2 linked regions of the Oryzias latipes genome follow. The protein of the gene in region 1 purifies or fractionates together with the protein of each later gene. This does not show direct contact. Links are inferred from orthologs where the notes say so. Each region holds a gene or a part of one and is shown on either strand. Other genes may lie near its edges. The genes, in order: cdk13 and ccnk.

The links.
Region 2: the proteins of cdk13 (region 1) and ccnk purify together in Homo sapiens (affinity purification with mass spectrometry; 4 studies listed by BioGRID and IntAct, counting the BioPlex papers as one, with this or other methods). This does not show direct contact. The link is inferred for Oryzias latipes from reciprocal best matches to the Homo sapiens genes CDK13 and CCNK.

The regions. Positions count from the first base shown.
Region 1 is NC_019878.2:22,522,537-22,530,897, forward strand, and holds the start of cdk13 (cyclin-dependent kinase 13), read left to right. Parts: upstream 1-2,875; 5' UTR 2,876-3,743; coding exon 3,744-4,864; intron 4,865-5,016; coding exon 5,017-5,568; intron 5,569-5,664; coding exon 5,665-5,826; intron 5,827-6,106; coding exon 6,107-6,246; intron 6,247-6,366; coding exon 6,367-6,537; intron 6,538-6,622; coding exon 6,623-6,812; intron 6,813-6,890; coding exon 6,891-6,947; intron 6,948-7,033; coding exon 7,034-7,135; intron 7,136-7,209; coding exon 7,210-7,287; intron 7,288-7,434; coding exon 7,435-7,551; intron 7,552-7,632; coding exon 7,633-7,764; intron 7,765-7,849; coding exon 7,850-8,046; intron 8,047-8,361. UniProt on the Homo sapiens protein: Cyclin-dependent kinase which displays CTD kinase activity and is required for RNA splicing.
Region 2 is NC_019882.2:3,582,330-3,590,703, forward strand, and holds ccnk (cyclin-K), read left to right. Parts: upstream 1-2,650; 5' UTR 2,651-2,788; coding exon 2,789-2,797; intron 2,798-3,249; coding exon 3,250-3,482; intron 3,483-3,684; coding exon 3,685-3,766; intron 3,767-3,859; coding exon 3,860-3,991; intron 3,992-4,097; coding exon 4,098-4,203; intron 4,204-4,277; coding exon 4,278-4,335; intron 4,336-4,467; coding exon 4,468-4,637; intron 4,638-4,714; coding exon 4,715-4,923; intron 4,924-5,013; coding exon 5,014-5,044; intron 5,045-5,155; coding exon 5,156-5,224; intron 5,225-5,522; coding exon 5,523-6,028; 3' UTR 6,029-6,678; downstream 6,679-8,374. UniProt on the Homo sapiens protein: Regulatory subunit of cyclin-dependent kinases that mediates activation of target kinases.

The sequences.
Region 1 (8,361 bases):
TCAAGAGGAAACAGAAAAGCCCCCGATCCACGCTAACGCGACACCGTCTGCTTTAGATGAGTAGACAGTTGGAGTTCAAGGACACGCTCAGTGTCACGGTGGAAATGAAATTCAATGCCATTCCTTCTTACTTTGCAAATATTCCATGTGGAAGTTTTTATTTTTTGTGTCTGTCTGTGATCAACACATGTAGAAAAGAGCACTAACGCTTCCATTTCCTTCCCTCTTCTCCAGGTCTCCTCAAATGCACAAATAACCTTCACCCTTTAGGGAATTTAAACAACAAAACACTTGAACTTTTCAGATGTTTCTCAGCTTTTAGTTTATTTCATCTCAAAATGTTATTTCCTTTTCAGAATAGAGGAATCTCTGGTGCTCTGATAAAAGGTGATTCCGTAACACTAAACCTTTTACGCGCTGCACTCGTTCATGTTTTCAACTCACTTTAATCGCTGACTTTAAATCCCACTTTTTTTTTTGTTTTTTGACATTTATTTTCAAAGAGTTGGAGTATGCTTAAAAAAAAGAAAAAAAGTGAAGTGGTACCTGTTCAAAAACGATGCTGTCGGTTACCAAAGAAAACAGCTAGCTAGTTCAAACAAGTGCCCGCTCACTAATGTAAGTGTCTGAAAACCTGCCATACAGAAAACGGATTATTAAAAAAACAAGAAGCACTACAATGTCTGTGTGAGACCTCAAAGATCAACTGGGTGTCATGGAAAGCAAAATATTTAGCTCTGGACCGCCTGCGAGGAAATGCAAGGTTATGACGGCTTTAGTAACCCTGTGCATTGCATCACTGTTGCCTCTCTGTCCATTGTGAATGTGAATAACGTCCGCTCTCTCTCTCGTCCCGTTTGCCCCCTAATCCGACGGCTCGTTCGTGCGTTCTGCGTCTGTCGGTGTGGCTCATCTGAGGCGGTCAAAGGGCAAAGAAAAAAACCCCGATTCTATATAAATGAGCAAAGAGGAAGTGATCTTGGAGCACAGATGCAGATGGTTCGTGTTTTTAAAAGTCTAATGTTCTTCCCTTTCGACTATTCCTTTGCAGCTTGTGTTAGCGTGGTGGAATCTAGGATTTCAGGCCACTCTCACCAAACTCAAAGAGTAGCAGTCATGTGATTCAAGCTTTTACAAATGGTTTTTCATTTTAAAAGATCTAATTTTTTTGGTTTATTTGGGTGTCAATCCATTAGGCGCCCCCTGCAGGCCGTTGCCACTCTGCCTCCACTCTGTTTAAACTGAGAGTAAGTCTATGCAAAAAAAATAAAATAATAATAATGATGTTGCTTGATTTGCAAAGAAGGAACCTGAAACTGAAGTTGGTCTCCATAAACTACCTTACAAAGCTGGAGTGTTTTGGATGCACTTCAGCTCCAATGACGAAGGATGGCGTGATGCGGCGTTGCCCAGAGGCTCTTGAAATCAATCTTTTTACTATTAATGTTCTTGTGTTCGTCCATCGTCTCACTAGTTGGTGAAACAGAGGAATGCTTGTGGAGTTAAGAGCACACAGAGGAGTTAGTTGGATGTGAACCTTAGGGAGCGTCTTAAAGTGACCGGCACGGACGGATTTAACTCGTCACGGGAACTAGCATCGTGCTTGCTTATCGTACTATCAGCCTAACACACTCGTCTACTTTTAAGTGGAAAATCAGAACTATTTTTTATTTTATGCATAATTGTATTGACTTTATGGCCCAAAATGTTCAACATGATGCAAAATAAAATGTTTGTGTGAACGCTATGAGCAAACTGTCCCACTGGGTATTCAAATACCTTCGGTTTGCCTTTTATATAAATACCTGTAAATGAAAAAGAAATATGGATGTCTTTTGGCTGGATGGTTGTATGTATGCCACCAGTTTAATGTTTCCTTCATGTTTACTTTCTTTTTGTTTTGTTTTTTTGAGCGTAACCACTAATGTAGCCTTTTTGTGAATGCAAGAGGTGAAGCTTACATTTCAATTCATATTCTGTGAGTTCTTTGAAAGTGGCTAATAAAATGGATATTACTAATATCTTCCACATGTGTTTGTTTTTTCTACTGTCTGTCTTAGTGAGAAACTCTAAGAAATGTTTCTAAATGGGATCATTTCTGCAGATAGCAATGAAATGTGAAAGCATGGGCATATGGAACGTTTACTTTAAGCTCTTAATTGACGTTTTGTCCCAATATTAAATGAATTAACTTCACAACTCAACTGTTGAACCAAGAACTTTAAAATTAAAAGAATCTTTAAGAAAATAAAGAACTAAAGATTAGGTGTTTAGAAGAAGAAAAGTACATAAACAAATCATAAATGTGCGCAATAATAATGAAAAAAATCATTTGTTTTTGTTAGTTCAGGCCCCTCTAGAAATAGAATTTTCAGCAGTATTATAGTTTATTTTAAGAACAAAAATATATATATATATATATATATATATATATATATATATATATATATGAAGAAAAGTTATGTCTCATATACTAATGGCAATAAAAGAAACAGAAGGGGGGATTATATGCTAAAAAACCTGATGTAATACCCAAAATATTGAAAATAAAAATCTATTTAAACTGATAAATTATCGAGAGGAAAAGGTATTTTTATTAGACAATATATTTAAAAAATCAAATTTCGTTCTTTTTCTTTGGAGGGGGTTATTATGCAATTGTCTTTGAACACCTCCCTCCATAAAATGTTTGTGTTTATGCTTATATTTGTCATTAAAAACATTTTCTAATGTAAATGAACCGCAGGAAAAATACGTCGCCCTTTAATTAAAAAAAAATCAATTTTGTTCTATTTTGAAGGGAAGGGTTCCCCTCGTTGTGACGTAAGCTCTGACGTAAGTTACGCACTGGGTTCCTATTGGTTCGTTTCTACGTAGAAGGCCTGTAGTTCCAAAGCTGTGGCCCAAGCGAGCTGCACCGTTAGCCACAATGAAGTTGTGTGAAGTATTTTGAAATAGATTCGAGGATTTGATCTAAATCGCTCCTCGATGAGAGTCATCGCGTTCCGGGATCGTGGAGGATGTTATTAGACGGAGGAGAGTCTCTGCGGTGAAGGTTTAGGCGGACGCGCCTTTGAATGTTTTACTTCAAATTCACTGAGTTGAACTCCACAGAAGGAGAAAAGAAAAGCCGACCGGCTAAGTTGCTAGCAGGGAGCTAGCCTCCGACCTCACTTCCTTGTTGCATCTACGAGTGTGATGGAAGGCAAGAAGTTTTTATGGAGGCGTCTGACTTTTTTTATTGTTCGTTTTTTAAATGTGCACTGATAGCTTTTTGTTTTTATGGACATTTATAATTTAGAAGACGTTGGTTTTTTAATAATTCTAAGTTGTTTCGGGTCATTGCGAACGTTCACCATGAAATGGGAAAACCACTCTGTAGCCGAACTGCTAGCTACGGCGGACTAGCGGGCTAAACCGACTAGCCTTCGCTATCAAATCCTGGATATGTGGGCTTTTCGCTGGAACACGGCGGTTAAGTATTGTTTGTTATAAAATTGCTGTAAATTAGTTGTGACTAAATCCTTAGCACCAGCTTCTACGGAGCATTACGATTGTTTGTATCGGGAATTTTGGTCTTAATAATAGCCACTGAATGCTAAAGCTAGCGATTTAGCTAGCTGTAATGTCAGCTTAGTAGCCTGTTACACAGCTAGCCCAATGTTGTGTTTTATGAATCGACAGGGGCACGTAGTTCATATTTTATAAACTTATTCCTAACTCATCCGTTAATTGAGACATAAATGCCCAACTCGGAGGTGCTTCGCGACGGGCGGGGAGGACGGAGCCCCTCGGAGCTCCAGAATGCTAACAGGCAGGGGAGGCGCAGCAAAGCGGCGAGCGGTACCACCGCTCCGCGAGACAGGCGCCGCGAGAAGGGACGGTCGTCCGCCTCCCGGAGGAAGAAGCGCAGGCAGCAGAAGGACCGACACCTGTGGCATGCGGTCACAACGGACGGCCCCGACAAGAGAAGTGATTTCGACAAGGAACTTGAACTTCGGACGTTAGTAGAATACGACGACGTGAGCTCCCAATCAGAACGATTCTCCGGTAGCCCCTCTCCTAAAATTGACCCCCACGCTGACAATCTCCCAGCGGATCCCCTCAGCTCTGTTAACTTTGAATATAATGGACCGGCCTCCCTGGCCAGGGGTCAACTAAGAGACCGGGAAGCAGTTTACCTCAGTAAAGAGTTCAGAGGACCATCCGAGAGGAGCAAACAAGATAAGGACTTGTCCAAGAAAAAAGATCACCAGAGTCGTGAAAGAGACTCCTTAAAAGTCAGAACTGGAGGTAGCCTAAGCGGCTCTAAAACCGCCACACGGAGCGGCGACAAAAATGGCAAAAGGACGTCTTCGTCTTCTCAATCGGCAGATAAGAAGAACGCAAAAAGGCACAGAAGCAAAACGAGAACTGATAAAGAGACGCCGTCTGCGTACAGAGACGCGCCACAGTCTTATCGAAACGACCGCGAGGACCCCAGGGCGTACAGAAAAAGTCCTGGTTTTAAAACTGACAGTCCCTATGGGACATCCTATTCCCTTAACTACCAATCTCCTGGTAACTATGCCCAGCTGGCATCTAGAAGAAGTCCAACTTATGGAAGTAAAAGACATTCTCCCAGTGCTACGTATTTCAACCGGGATGATGTGTATGGCGGATATGGAATGCCAAAGTCACCCACTTCGTATTCAAGCAACAAGAGGAAGCGATCGCCCGCGAGCCCAGCCAACTGGAGGAGGTCACCAAGTTACGGTCGACACAGCCCTTTCGAACAAGGAGAGTTCGTCTCAAGTCCTTATGGAAAGCGGAGGAAGTCACGGAGTCCATACAGGAAGTCCCTGAGCCCCAGTCCAGATGTCAGGTGAGGTTCTTCAGCGTTGTAGTAGGCCTTAAACATTTTTATTTATTTGTTTAGTATTGATTTATTGGGAAAAACCTGCTCTATATGTCAGAAATATACCATAACCTGTCCTGCTTTTCAGTCTGAGATTTCACCCATAATTCTCTCTGCAGGAGACCCGCAAGGTCACGCAGCAGAAGTCCCTTTCCATCCTCAAGGCACTCGCGCTCCCACAGCCGCCACCGACACTCTCGCTCCCGCAGCCGCCCTTCCAGCCTGTCGCCGAGCACGCTCACCTTCAAGAGCAGTCTGGCCGCCGAGCTCAGCAAGCAGAAAAAGGTCAAAGCCGCAGAAGCGGCCGCAAAGGCCAAAAACTCGAGCAACACGTCGACTCCAACCAAAATGCCGTCGTCTGCTCACCAGCCCAGTCCCAAATCCAACCACACGGCCAAGAAAGGACGCCCCCCCTCACCGCCTGCCCCAGAGAAAGGGCCCCGGACCCCCACATCCAACCAGCCTCAGTCTCCTGCAGATAAATTGAAGAAGACAGCAGAGCACCAGAGCAGCAGTAAGGGGAAAGAGGACCCTCTACACCGGGACAAGAAGAAAGCCCCGGCGTCTGGGCAGATCAAAGACAAGGACAGAGCCGCTGGCCCAGTTATCTCCACTCTGCCACAGCTGCCACTGCCCCAAATAGTTGCTGAGAACGCAGACAAAGGAGACAAGTATGTAACCTCCTTCACACTCCTCAGCACTTGTATTGTAGCATCCATGCGGCTTTATCTGATTGTTTTTGTCTGTCTGCTCTCCTCCATTCATAGTTTGAAAGACGGCTCGCTTCCGGGCAAAAAGAAGCTGGAGAAAAAAACGCGCCAGCTTCTGACTGACCTCCCCTTGCCCCCTGAACTCCCCTGCCCCTCGGTTTCTCCAAGCAGCCCTCCCGATAAGCTGGAAAAGTCCCAAACATTTCGACGAAGACCAAAGTAATTTCCCTTCCCTGCAGCTGTGTAGACCCACTCTACTGAAAATTGTGTATTTCTTGTTGCTTTTTTCCAATCTACTGAAAATTGTGTATTTCTTGTTGCTTTTTTCCAATCTACTGAAAATTGTGTATTTCTTGTTGCTTTTTTCCAATCATGTCAAGTCATCAGTTAAGCTTAAAATGGCATTTCTGAGGATTTCTATTTCTAGAAAATGTTTAAAGTGGGACTTTTAATATCGACTTGATGGTTATTTACTTCTTGTTTGCTTCTTTTTTACCAGAATTTGTGGCCCGAGGTTTGGCGAGATCAAGGAAATCGAGATAGATTGGGGTAAACGGTGTGTGGACAAGTTTGAGATCATTGGAATCACAGGAGAAGGCACCTACGGTCAGGTGTACAAGGCCAAAGACAAAGACACTGGTGGGTTTCCTGAAAATGTTTGCTCATTCATTCTCTGTGTTTACCCTCTACCGCAGTCAGTGGATTCAGCTTGAGTTGGAAAAAGCAGAGCAGACTCATTCTCAGGTTTGTTTCGCTCAGGTGAAATGGTGGCTCTGAAGAAGGTCCGTCTGGACAATGAGAAGGAAGGCTTTCCGATCACGGCCATCAGAGAAATCAAGATTCTGCGACAGCTGAACCACAAGAGCATCATCAACATGAAGGAGATCGTCACGGACAAAGAGGACGCTCTGGATTTCAGGAACGATAAAGGTAACCGTTGAAATTTAAAAGTTATTTTAAAACTTTAAGAGTTGAGAGGTTAAAGTAGCTTTTTTTATGTTTTTTTTAATTCCAGGTGCTTTCTATCTGGTGTTTGAATACATGGACCACGACCTGATGGGTCTGCTGGAGTCTGGCCTGGTTCACTTCAACGAAAGCCACATCAAGTCCTTCATGCGGCAGCTGCTGGAGGGTCTGGATTACTGCCACAAGAAGAACTTCCTCCACAGAGACATCAAGTGCTCCAACATTCTGCTCAACAACAGGTGAGGCTGGAGGCAGAAATCACAACAACCTCCAGGATGTTTCACAACGTGCTTAATCGTTTTCTCCCTCCTAATCAGGGGTCAAATAAAGCTGGCAGACTTTGGCCTGGCTCGGCTCTATAACTCAGAGGAGAGGTGAGTCTTGTGTTTTATGACTGGACTTTATGATGGTTGGTTTGTGTTTCTTTTACTCGTGTGTGTCGCCGTGTTTCCACTTTCAGTCGACCGTACACGAACAAAGTGATCACGCTTTGGTACCGCCCGCCGGAGCTGCTCCTGGGGGAGGAGAGGTACACCCCCGCCATCGATGTGTGGAGCTGCGGGTAAGGGCGGCGTTCGTTCAAAGCCAGCTGGTGTTCGTCCGTCGTAGTTTTTCATGTTGGCGATTCTGTCACAGGTGCATTCTGGGAGAACTGTTCACAAAGAAACCCATCTTTCAAGCCAACCAGGAGCTTGCTCAGTTGGAGCTCATCAGGTGAGAAGCAGCTACACTTTTCCGGGGGTTTCATGTTTGGACGGCCGGGTCTTTTCAGTGAAAATGTTATTTTTCTCTGCGTTTTTATGGAATTGTCTCTGTTATGTCGCAAATTGGGAAGAAAATGGGGTTATATGTTTGTTTCAGTCGTATTTGCGGCAGTCCTTGTCCCGCTGTGTGGCCAGATGTGATCAAGCTTCCGTTCTTCAACACCATGAAACCAAAGAAGCAATATCGGAGGCGGCTCAGAGAGGAGTTTGCTTTGTAAGTCAGTTGACGCAACTCTAGACTCGTTTCCCAATAACCTGACCTTGTGATAACGCTGGCGGTCTTGTGGTCGTCCAGCATCCCTCCGGCGGCCTTGGATCTGTTTGACCACATGCTGAACCTGGACCCCGGCAGACGCTGCACGGCCGAACAAGCGCTGAGCAGCGAGTTTCTCAAGGATGTGGATCCCGACAAGATGCCTCCACCCGAGTGTGTTCCGGGTCACTTTTATCTCCTCGCATCTGCCCAAAGTCTTCTGATTTGTAACTTTTTTCTCTTCTTTTTTTATTTTCAGCCTCCCCCTTTGGCAGGACTGTCACGAGCTGTGGAGCAAGAAACGGCGGCGGCAGAAGCAGATGCCGGAAGAGCTGGTGGCTCCAAAAGCGCCGCGTAAAGAGCTGGGTCTGGACGACAGCCGCAGCAACACTCCACAGGGCTTCGCGGCGCCCGGCGCCATGAAGACCCAGAATGCGGCCGCCTCTGTGCTGCTCGGTGAGGACGCTCAACTGGAGAATAACTCGCAGCTTAAGTTACTGTCTGCAGAAGACAAACGTTGAAGAAAATCCAGATTCTTCTATAGCCTAGCTGTCATGTAGATTGGTGATAAGTATCCCATCACTGCCTCATCACTTTTTCTTGAGTCGCGTTCTTCCGATTGACGCGTTTTCAACTCAAAAGTTCTGCTTTCGTGTGGCTTATTGCTCTGATGTGCTCGGGAAACAAACTCTGCTACTTTAATGCAAATCTGCAACCAAAACTGAAAGCAAAACTAGGTTTTTCTTAGTGTCTTTCTAAGTGCCTGAGTGT
Region 2 (8,374 bases), on another chromosome or scaffold:
GGAGGGGCAAATGGAGAGGGCTCCACAGGACTTGTGGTTCTGCTCTATTAGTCATATTTCAGGCATAAACAGAAGATGGTTCTTTGGTCATACAACAATGGCACTCAGGAAAAATGCTCATGTCATCCAGAGTAAAATACTCAATTACAAATGGTTGCAGCAGCTCTTTGCTGCTATCTATCTATCTATCTATCTGTCTGTCTGTCTGTCTGTCTGTCTGTCTGTCTGTCTGTCTGTCTGACACTGTTTCACGTGTATTTGTCTCCCTCTAGTGGTAGTAATTGAGAATGGCATTGTCTCGGTGTAAATAATTGAATTGTGGTTTGTTTGACGCAGCAGCCTCATTTAAACATAAATAGTAATTCATTAAGGTGTGTTTTCTATTATTAATAAATGGGAAAAGTACTAAATCATTATAATTTCCTCAAAAAAGCAGTTATTGCTCTATTAATGCTCATAAACATGCTCTCTGATTTTGGACTTTCAGAGAATACCTTTTCCACGACACATAAAATATTCTTGTTTGGCACTTCAGTAATGTTGGTCTTATAATGTTACTTATTAGAGTTACATTTCTACATATGAAATCTCACTGTAAGTATTTGATGTAACAATAAAACATGTAGATGAGCAATTTCTTTCCCATTTTTAATACTAGTGAACTTTAAGGACAATACACTCTTTCACACAACAGAAACGTAATCGCGAATACTTTTAGCACCGAAAAAATAAATCTATATAAAGTTAGAGGGAAAAAGACTGTGATTGTGAAAAGCAGAAACAGAATTAAGCAGAAAAGTACTTAAAAATGAAAATAATAAAATAAAAATCTAGGTCATAAACCTGTTGAATAAACACACAAACACAAATATGTATTTTTTTTGTGTTTATCTGAAAGATGTATACTGATGATTTTTGCTTTACAGTAAATCCCCTTTTTTAACCAAACTTTATTGAACGCAACAATCAAATACACAACAGTTCAAGACAACAACAGGAAAGGAACAAACCAGGCGGTTAATATTAGATTTTACACAAACTGACGCACAGATCGAATGTTTTAATGGCCTTCTTATTGTCATAGTTTCTTATTGTCTTCATGCATTGTTTGAACTCATTGATAAAGATAGAAAAATAAGGGGTTTGATTTGTAACTTTGGATTTATGAATGTGCAATTTGTATAAAAAAACAATAAGAGATTAATGCTGTATGATTGTTCTTTTTATGAGATGGACAGTGGGTGAGGCCAAACATAACATGTTCTAAATAGAGTCTGTGTCAATGTGGGCGGATATGAAATTGCAATCTTTAGACCAGAGACTAGTGGAAAAGGGACATGATCAAATAAATGTACAGCATCTTCAGGGTGTTCTTGACAAAAAGAGCAGGTGACATCAACATCCTTTTTGAACCTTTGGAGATACAGTTTGGTTGGGTAGACTTATGGATTAGTTTAAATGAGATTTCTTTCACTTTATTGGTTAAGAAATATTTTTCTGGTAGATTCCAGATCTTTTTCCATGATTGGTAAACTCAATTATTCCAATAAAGTACATAGGGAATGGACACAACATCCTTCTGAAAGAGTGAGCACATGCGGCGATTTGTGTTACGTGAAGAAGAAAAACAGATTTGACCTATTTGTATTTTAGTTGGGTCAATTGGTAATAAAGTTGGACTCTGCAATGATGTTAAAAATCACATTTTTCCACCAGTGTGTTACTGTAGCGTTTCCTCTTTTCTTTTTTTTCTTTCAAAACTTTATTGAAGATGTACAGGATACAAAATCAAGTCAGTTTTTAAGTACACAGATAAAAAAAGAATAACAAAATGTGCCAGGGGAACATAAAGAATAAAGGACGAAAAAAGATTATAAACAAGAGCAGTCAAAGCAGTAAGTTGCTATTCTATACATTTAAATAACGTTTTCTCTTCTTTTTTTTTAAACTTTATTGTACAAAACGTAAGTACGATACAAAACACAATTTTACTAAATAAAATTCAGATATGCCAGGGGAGCATACATACTAAATACATTTTACATAAAAACATTCAGGTTTCTGCAACTTTCATATAGACATACTGCTTTCTGATTAAGACTCTTGGAGATGTTACTGATATACATTTCAATTTGTTTGATTAAAATAGGGAAAAATAGAAGATGGAGAAAATTTAAATGTATGTATATAAAATTTGCCAAAAATAATAACAAGATTAACTATGAGTTTTTTTGTTTGACTCCAAATTTTTATTATGAAGGCCAAAAATTATATGTTCAAACTTTAGATTAAAGTTGGGGTGAATGCGATTTCTAATAAATTGCAAACATTTTTTCCAAAATATTCTAATTATAGTACAATTCCAAAAAAGATGGTCAATTGTTTCTGGAAATTCTTTGCAAGAAGTACAGTTAGGGTCAATTGTTTTAATGTATTTTAGCATAAATTGATTGGTGCGGTAAATTTTGTGAATTATTTTATAAGAAACTTCTTTCATTTTATTATTTATCATAAATTTTTGGGTCACAGTCCAGCCTTTCTTCCAGATACTGTCGGGAACAAAACGTCTCCAGTAGGTTCTACGTAGTACACGGTAACGTTTTCTCTTCAAGCAGCGCACGCGGTTGCTTGTGACGTCATGACGTCCGTCAGCCGCACTTGACGTTCTTCAAAATGGCGATTCTGTTGTGCCAGCGGGTGTTCTGTTCGAATCTGTCGCTAACTTTGGGTGAATAACTGAAGTCTCGTGTCGCGTTTGTGCTCTCCGGTTAATCCTGTCGTCGCCTACATGATAAAGGTACGTGCTGCGTCCTTCCGCCGGAGTCCGGTGACTCCAAATTTGACTTATTTATCGTAGCTTGTCGGCTCCGGCGGCTTTGCTAGCCGTTAGCGGGTACATTCATTCAGTTTCATCGCTTTACTGGCCGGCATGTTTTGGGAACATCCCCCCCCCCCCCCCCCATTATGAGTTTTTGTTTTTTTTCTTCAAAAAAAAATCCCAATTTTTAGGTTTATTTATTAATATACTTGCATCATTAAAGAGAAAGCGGTGAACACTGGTGATCATTTTCTAAGCTTTTATTAATTTGTGAATCTCTGGCTTTTATTTTATTTTTTGGACGTTTTTACACGACTCTCTAAATAAATTTAGGCCCATTTAAATACAAAATTGTATTTAAATCAGAATGAAAGAGCTACATCTGACTGACCAAAGTTGTCCATAATATCGACATTTATTGCTATTTTCAGCAGTCCAGCAGCACAGCAGGTCCATCCACCACCTCCCCTCAGTCAATGAAGGAGTCCAAGGACTTCTCGGGCGGCCAGTCCTTCCTGGATCACATCAAGCCGTGCTGGTACTGGGACAAGAAGGATTTAGCCCACACCCCTTCCCAGTCCGAGGGTCTTGACCCCGGGACCGAGGCCCGGTACAGGAGAGAAGGAGCCCGCTTCATTTTTGACGTGGGGACTCGACTCGGCCTGTATCCTCGATGGGTTCAGTAATCTGAGCAACGGGTCTCAGTTTGCAGCTATTTGAATGCATTCTCTGTACATTTAGCTCACTTGTTTATCATGATTGGGCGATTTTAAGGCTTCTATTGTGCATGAAGTAAACTCCTATGGTGAGGGATTTACTGTTTCTATGCTTCTGTCCTTCTGAAATGGATTCTTAACTGCCAGCAGACATTATGACACTCTTGCAACTGGCATCATATATTTCCATCGCTTCTACATGTTTCACTCCTTCAAGCAGTTTCCCAGATATGTATGTTCATGATTTATTTACTCTTTTGGTATTTTTTTTTTTTTTTCATTAACACAAAAGCTAATGTGGGATTTTGGGTTTGTGTTTCTACAGGTGACGGGTGCCTGTTGTCTTTTCTTGGCTGGGAAAGTGGAGGAAACGCCAAAGAAGTGTAAAGATATCATTAAAACAGCTCGCAGTTTACTCAACGATGTCCAGTTCGCCCAGTTTGGAGATGATCCGAAGGTGCAGTTCTATTTTAATAAACAGTTTTTTTTTTTTGAATCTTTCATGCCACACATTTCTGTGAGTCTGAAGTGCAGGACAGTCATGTCTGACCTTGTTCAAACAGGAGGAGGTGATGGTGCTGGAGAGGATTTTGCTCCAGACCATCAAGTTTGACTTGCAGGTGGAGCACCCTTACATGTTCCTGCTGCGTTACGTCAAACAGCTGAAAGGTGGGACGGGGTTCGTGCAGAACCGCTGCCCCAATGGAGCTCAGAAAGACTCATGTTTTGTTTTGGTGCTTCAGGAGACAAGAACAAAGTATGCAAGGTGCTCCAAATGGCCTGGACCTTCGTCAATGACAGGTAAGAGGTGCTGATTCTCGCATTGAGCTTTTAAGAATCTTGTAGTTGTTGCTAAATGTGTGTTTGAGTTAGAATAAATCGATCTACACAGTTGAGATAAGGCCTTCACTGCTTTATTTGCGTCCCTGGCAGCCTGTGCACCATGCTGTCCCTGCAGTGGGAGCCGGAGATCATCGCCGTGGCCGTCATGTACCTAGCAGGCCGACTTTGTAAGTTTGACATCCAGGAGTGGACCTCCAAGCAATCGTCGCGGCGTTGGTGGGAGCAGTTTGTGCAGGACGTCCCAGTTGAGCTGCTTGAAGGTTAAAAAAAAAAAAAACTTTATTGTTTTCCTCAAAAACGTGGGGCTTTCAGTCACAGCTTCCTTTGGTCCCTTCAGACATCTGCCACCAGATCCTGGACCTATATTCTCAAGGGAACAAGCCCATCCCTCAGCAGGTCCAAGAGAAGGAGAAGACGGCGGCTGTCACACCCACTGCGTCGCCGGTGCCGCAGGGGCAGCTCCCAGTTTCCAACCCGCCTCCCCCACCGCCAAAAAAGACGTCGCCGCAGGGGGGCAGTCCCGCACGGCAGCTCAAACGCTCCCACGTAAGCAGGAGTCGTCTACGCAGCAGCTGTTTAACATCATTACGAGCTGTCAGATGGTAAACTCGCTTTTTTTTTTGTAAATTCTTTCAGACATCCCCTAAAGATGAACCAAAGGCTCCAGGTGAAACAATTTCTTCGTTTTTTCGCAGAAAAAATCTGCAAGAGAGAATATTTTAAATATTTGTTCCGTTTTTTTTTTTTTTTATTAATTTTTTTAATTTTAAATTTGCAGAACAAACTGGATCAAAAATTCCCCGACTGGAGAGTCCCATGCCCCCACTACCGGCTGTTCAACCACCAGGTGAGCAGCTGTTCCTGAACTTCTGTTTGTGTTGAACCGAACAGGATTAGTGTTTATACTCCAGTTTGCTGATCTGATGGCAGATTTATTGTTTGCATGTTTGGCTAGATAGGAACTGAAGCTCATAAATCAGACTTATGTAATCAGTTCGTCTGTTTCAAAACATGCAGGCTGTTCCAGACCAATCTGATTAGGGCTTAATCCAAACGAGGAGGGCTCCTCTTTTCATTGTTGGAGAACTGAGGTCATTCGAGGTCATGAAACATCTAACTTGTTGTTTTTTCTCCTCCTGTACCAGCTCCTCCTGCAGAAGCAGAGCCAGGAAGTGAAGTGGCTCCTCCTCCCCCTCATGCTCCACCTCCCCACCAGCCCCCTCCCCTGCCCCATCGCCCTCCACCTCCTCCACCCTCCAACTACCTGATGTCCACCAACGCCTCGTACATGTCCGGAGAGGGCTTCCAGAGCCTGCAGTCCATGATGAAGACAGAAGGTCCCTCTTATGCCCCCATGCCCCCCGGCTATGCTCCTCCAATCCCACCATACCACCCGCATGTCTATCCACCGCCTGCAGCGCCCCCTCCAGGACCCCCACCGCCTCCTTCCACGTATCCACCTCCCAGCTTGGCCCCAAACTACCCGCCGCCGGGCTACAACAGCTACCCTCCGCCTCCGCACATGCCCCCCGGGATCGGCCTACCGCCTGCGGGATACCCTCCCCCACCACCCGTGCCCCCGGGACAAGCCCAAGTGCCTTTGCCGCCCCCACCTGGCATGCCCTTGAACCGTGGAGCGTGGATGAGATGAGGACGTTTGAAAGACTGTTGACACCTGAGCTGATGAGGAAGAGTGGGAGGTCTGTAAACGTTGCTTTTCTAATCTAGAAGGTGAATTCTCCAACACCCAGTAGCTCAACTTACAGTCACCGCTCACGTCTTGTACCTTCACCGCCGTCTGCTTTTCCATTGAAATTTCCTGTGAATTAGCATCTTTGTCTTTGATTTTTTCTATGAAATCCACCATAAAAACTGGGCTGCAGGATCTGAACGAACGTTTTCATTTTATACAAGCAACACTGGCTTCAGGAGTATTTGTGCTGCAGTTGAGACGCTTTTGTTTGAACTTCTGTTTTGTTTTTTCAATAAACTGTGCTTCACACAGTATTAAAGGAGAAGCAGTAGAGAAAAGATTTCTCATTTAAGTCTCTGGACCATTTCTTTTATAGGAAAGCATCGATGTGCTCCTTTATAGCGTTTTAATGACAATTCTGATTATGAAATCACTTCATGCCGACGTTCTTTCTTGAGTTAATCCCACAGGTTACTTTTGAAAAAGGAGTTTCAGAACGAAACCCACCAGTAAATCTGGCCTTTATAAATTCAATAATTGTTAGAGAATGAAAAAAGTTAAACGAATGTTTGAAAGTTACCTATAACATTAAAGGCGCACTTTAATCATCTTTTGATCCTAGTGGTTTTTTTTAGGATTATGCAGTTTTTAGCCAATAGTATTTGTTCACTTGCTGCTGATTCCCAACGATTTGAGTAAAGAAATACTCAAATTCAACTTTGAGCTTAACTTTTCTTCATACATGTCCTCCATCATGGGAAAAGTACCACAATGGTGTTAAAAACACCATTTTCATTATAGTGGTGCAGCTGTACTTATTCACCAGCAGAGGGCAGTGTGACTTAGGCAAACAACTGTTAAAAAAAGAGTCCACAGTGTTGTTAAGCAACTGGTTTATTTCATTTTCTCAGATTTGAATAAAAATGTTCTCATTTGTTTGTATCAGTGAAATTCATGAAAAGAAGTCATGCTAGTTGCAAGAATACACATTTATACTGTAGGTTTGCAGGGTTTTTTTTTTTAGTATATAGATAAAAGCATCATAAAAGTTAGAAATAAAAAAAGTTGGGTTCCAAATTAAAACGCATTGGAAAACAATGCGGAACATCTCAAACCAAATACCATTTATTTATTTATACAGTATCCAAAATTGTGTCATGGCTTCAAATCGGTTCCTAGAAAAAAGGACACTTTTAAAAAATAATACATTTATTTCTCTTTTTGACCCATTATTTAAGCAATGGGTCACTTCAGAAATGTTCTAATTTGGAACAAAATTGTTCTAGAGACGGGAGAGCTTGATGAACGGATCTGTTCAGGTACTGGTTGCTCTCGATTCTCTACGTTCACACTCAACAATAAATACACGGACAAACTTGAGTTTGTTCACTCTGACATCAACAGATACTTATTGTTTCAAAGTGAAGACTTCAAAAAGGAAGACTTGCCTGGTCTAGAAAAAAGCACGGACACCTGCTGAATCCAGAAAACCTCAAAATCAGGAAGAGGTTCGGATGGGATTGAACGTGTTTTCTTTTTTTTGCAGTTAAAGTACTACCGCCTTTGTGTGTGAATTCAGAAAACTGTTCAAAACGAGCCCAAAAAAACCCAAAATCAATGATGCTACAGCTGCAGGAGAACGGTGTCACCTGAAAACACAGTCACAGATGGGTGAAGGTAAAGCTGCAGCCCTCCAACCTGAGAAGGTGATTGTCTGGCATGCACACAGCATACGGGGTTTGTTAGTTTCTCTTAAAAATAAATAACCTGTGCGTTCGTCAACAGAAGCAACAGATCAAATACATTTTTTCAGGGTTTAAAGAGAGGAGAGGTTAAAGTTTTATGTGGAAAGAGAAGCAAACCCTGTTTCAGGTCTGGTTTTGTGCACTTCTACAACTGAATTCTTGATCGTATGGCCATGCTAGAATATAAAATAGATCAAATGGATAGTTCTAATGAAGTAGTGCTATGGTTCTATACATCATATACACGACAGTGATCCCCGTACATGAGCGAAATGTGCTAGATCACAGGGGTGCTTCACTTACACGTGACAGAAGGTCTCTACAGGAGGTCCTATCAAAAAAAATAAAACAAGAAAAAGTCTCTACGCAACATTGTTGCAGCCACATGGTCGCCTCGGCGGCGGTGGCCTGGTAGACGGTCACACGGGTGAGTCGGTGAAGCTAGCTGCCAGTTAACATAAGCCTGGAGGGATGAGGAAAGGTGTAAAAACTGTACATGTAAATATGGACGACGGTCCGTTCCTCTCAGCCAGTCCTGGAGCGTCTGCCGGATCGTGGG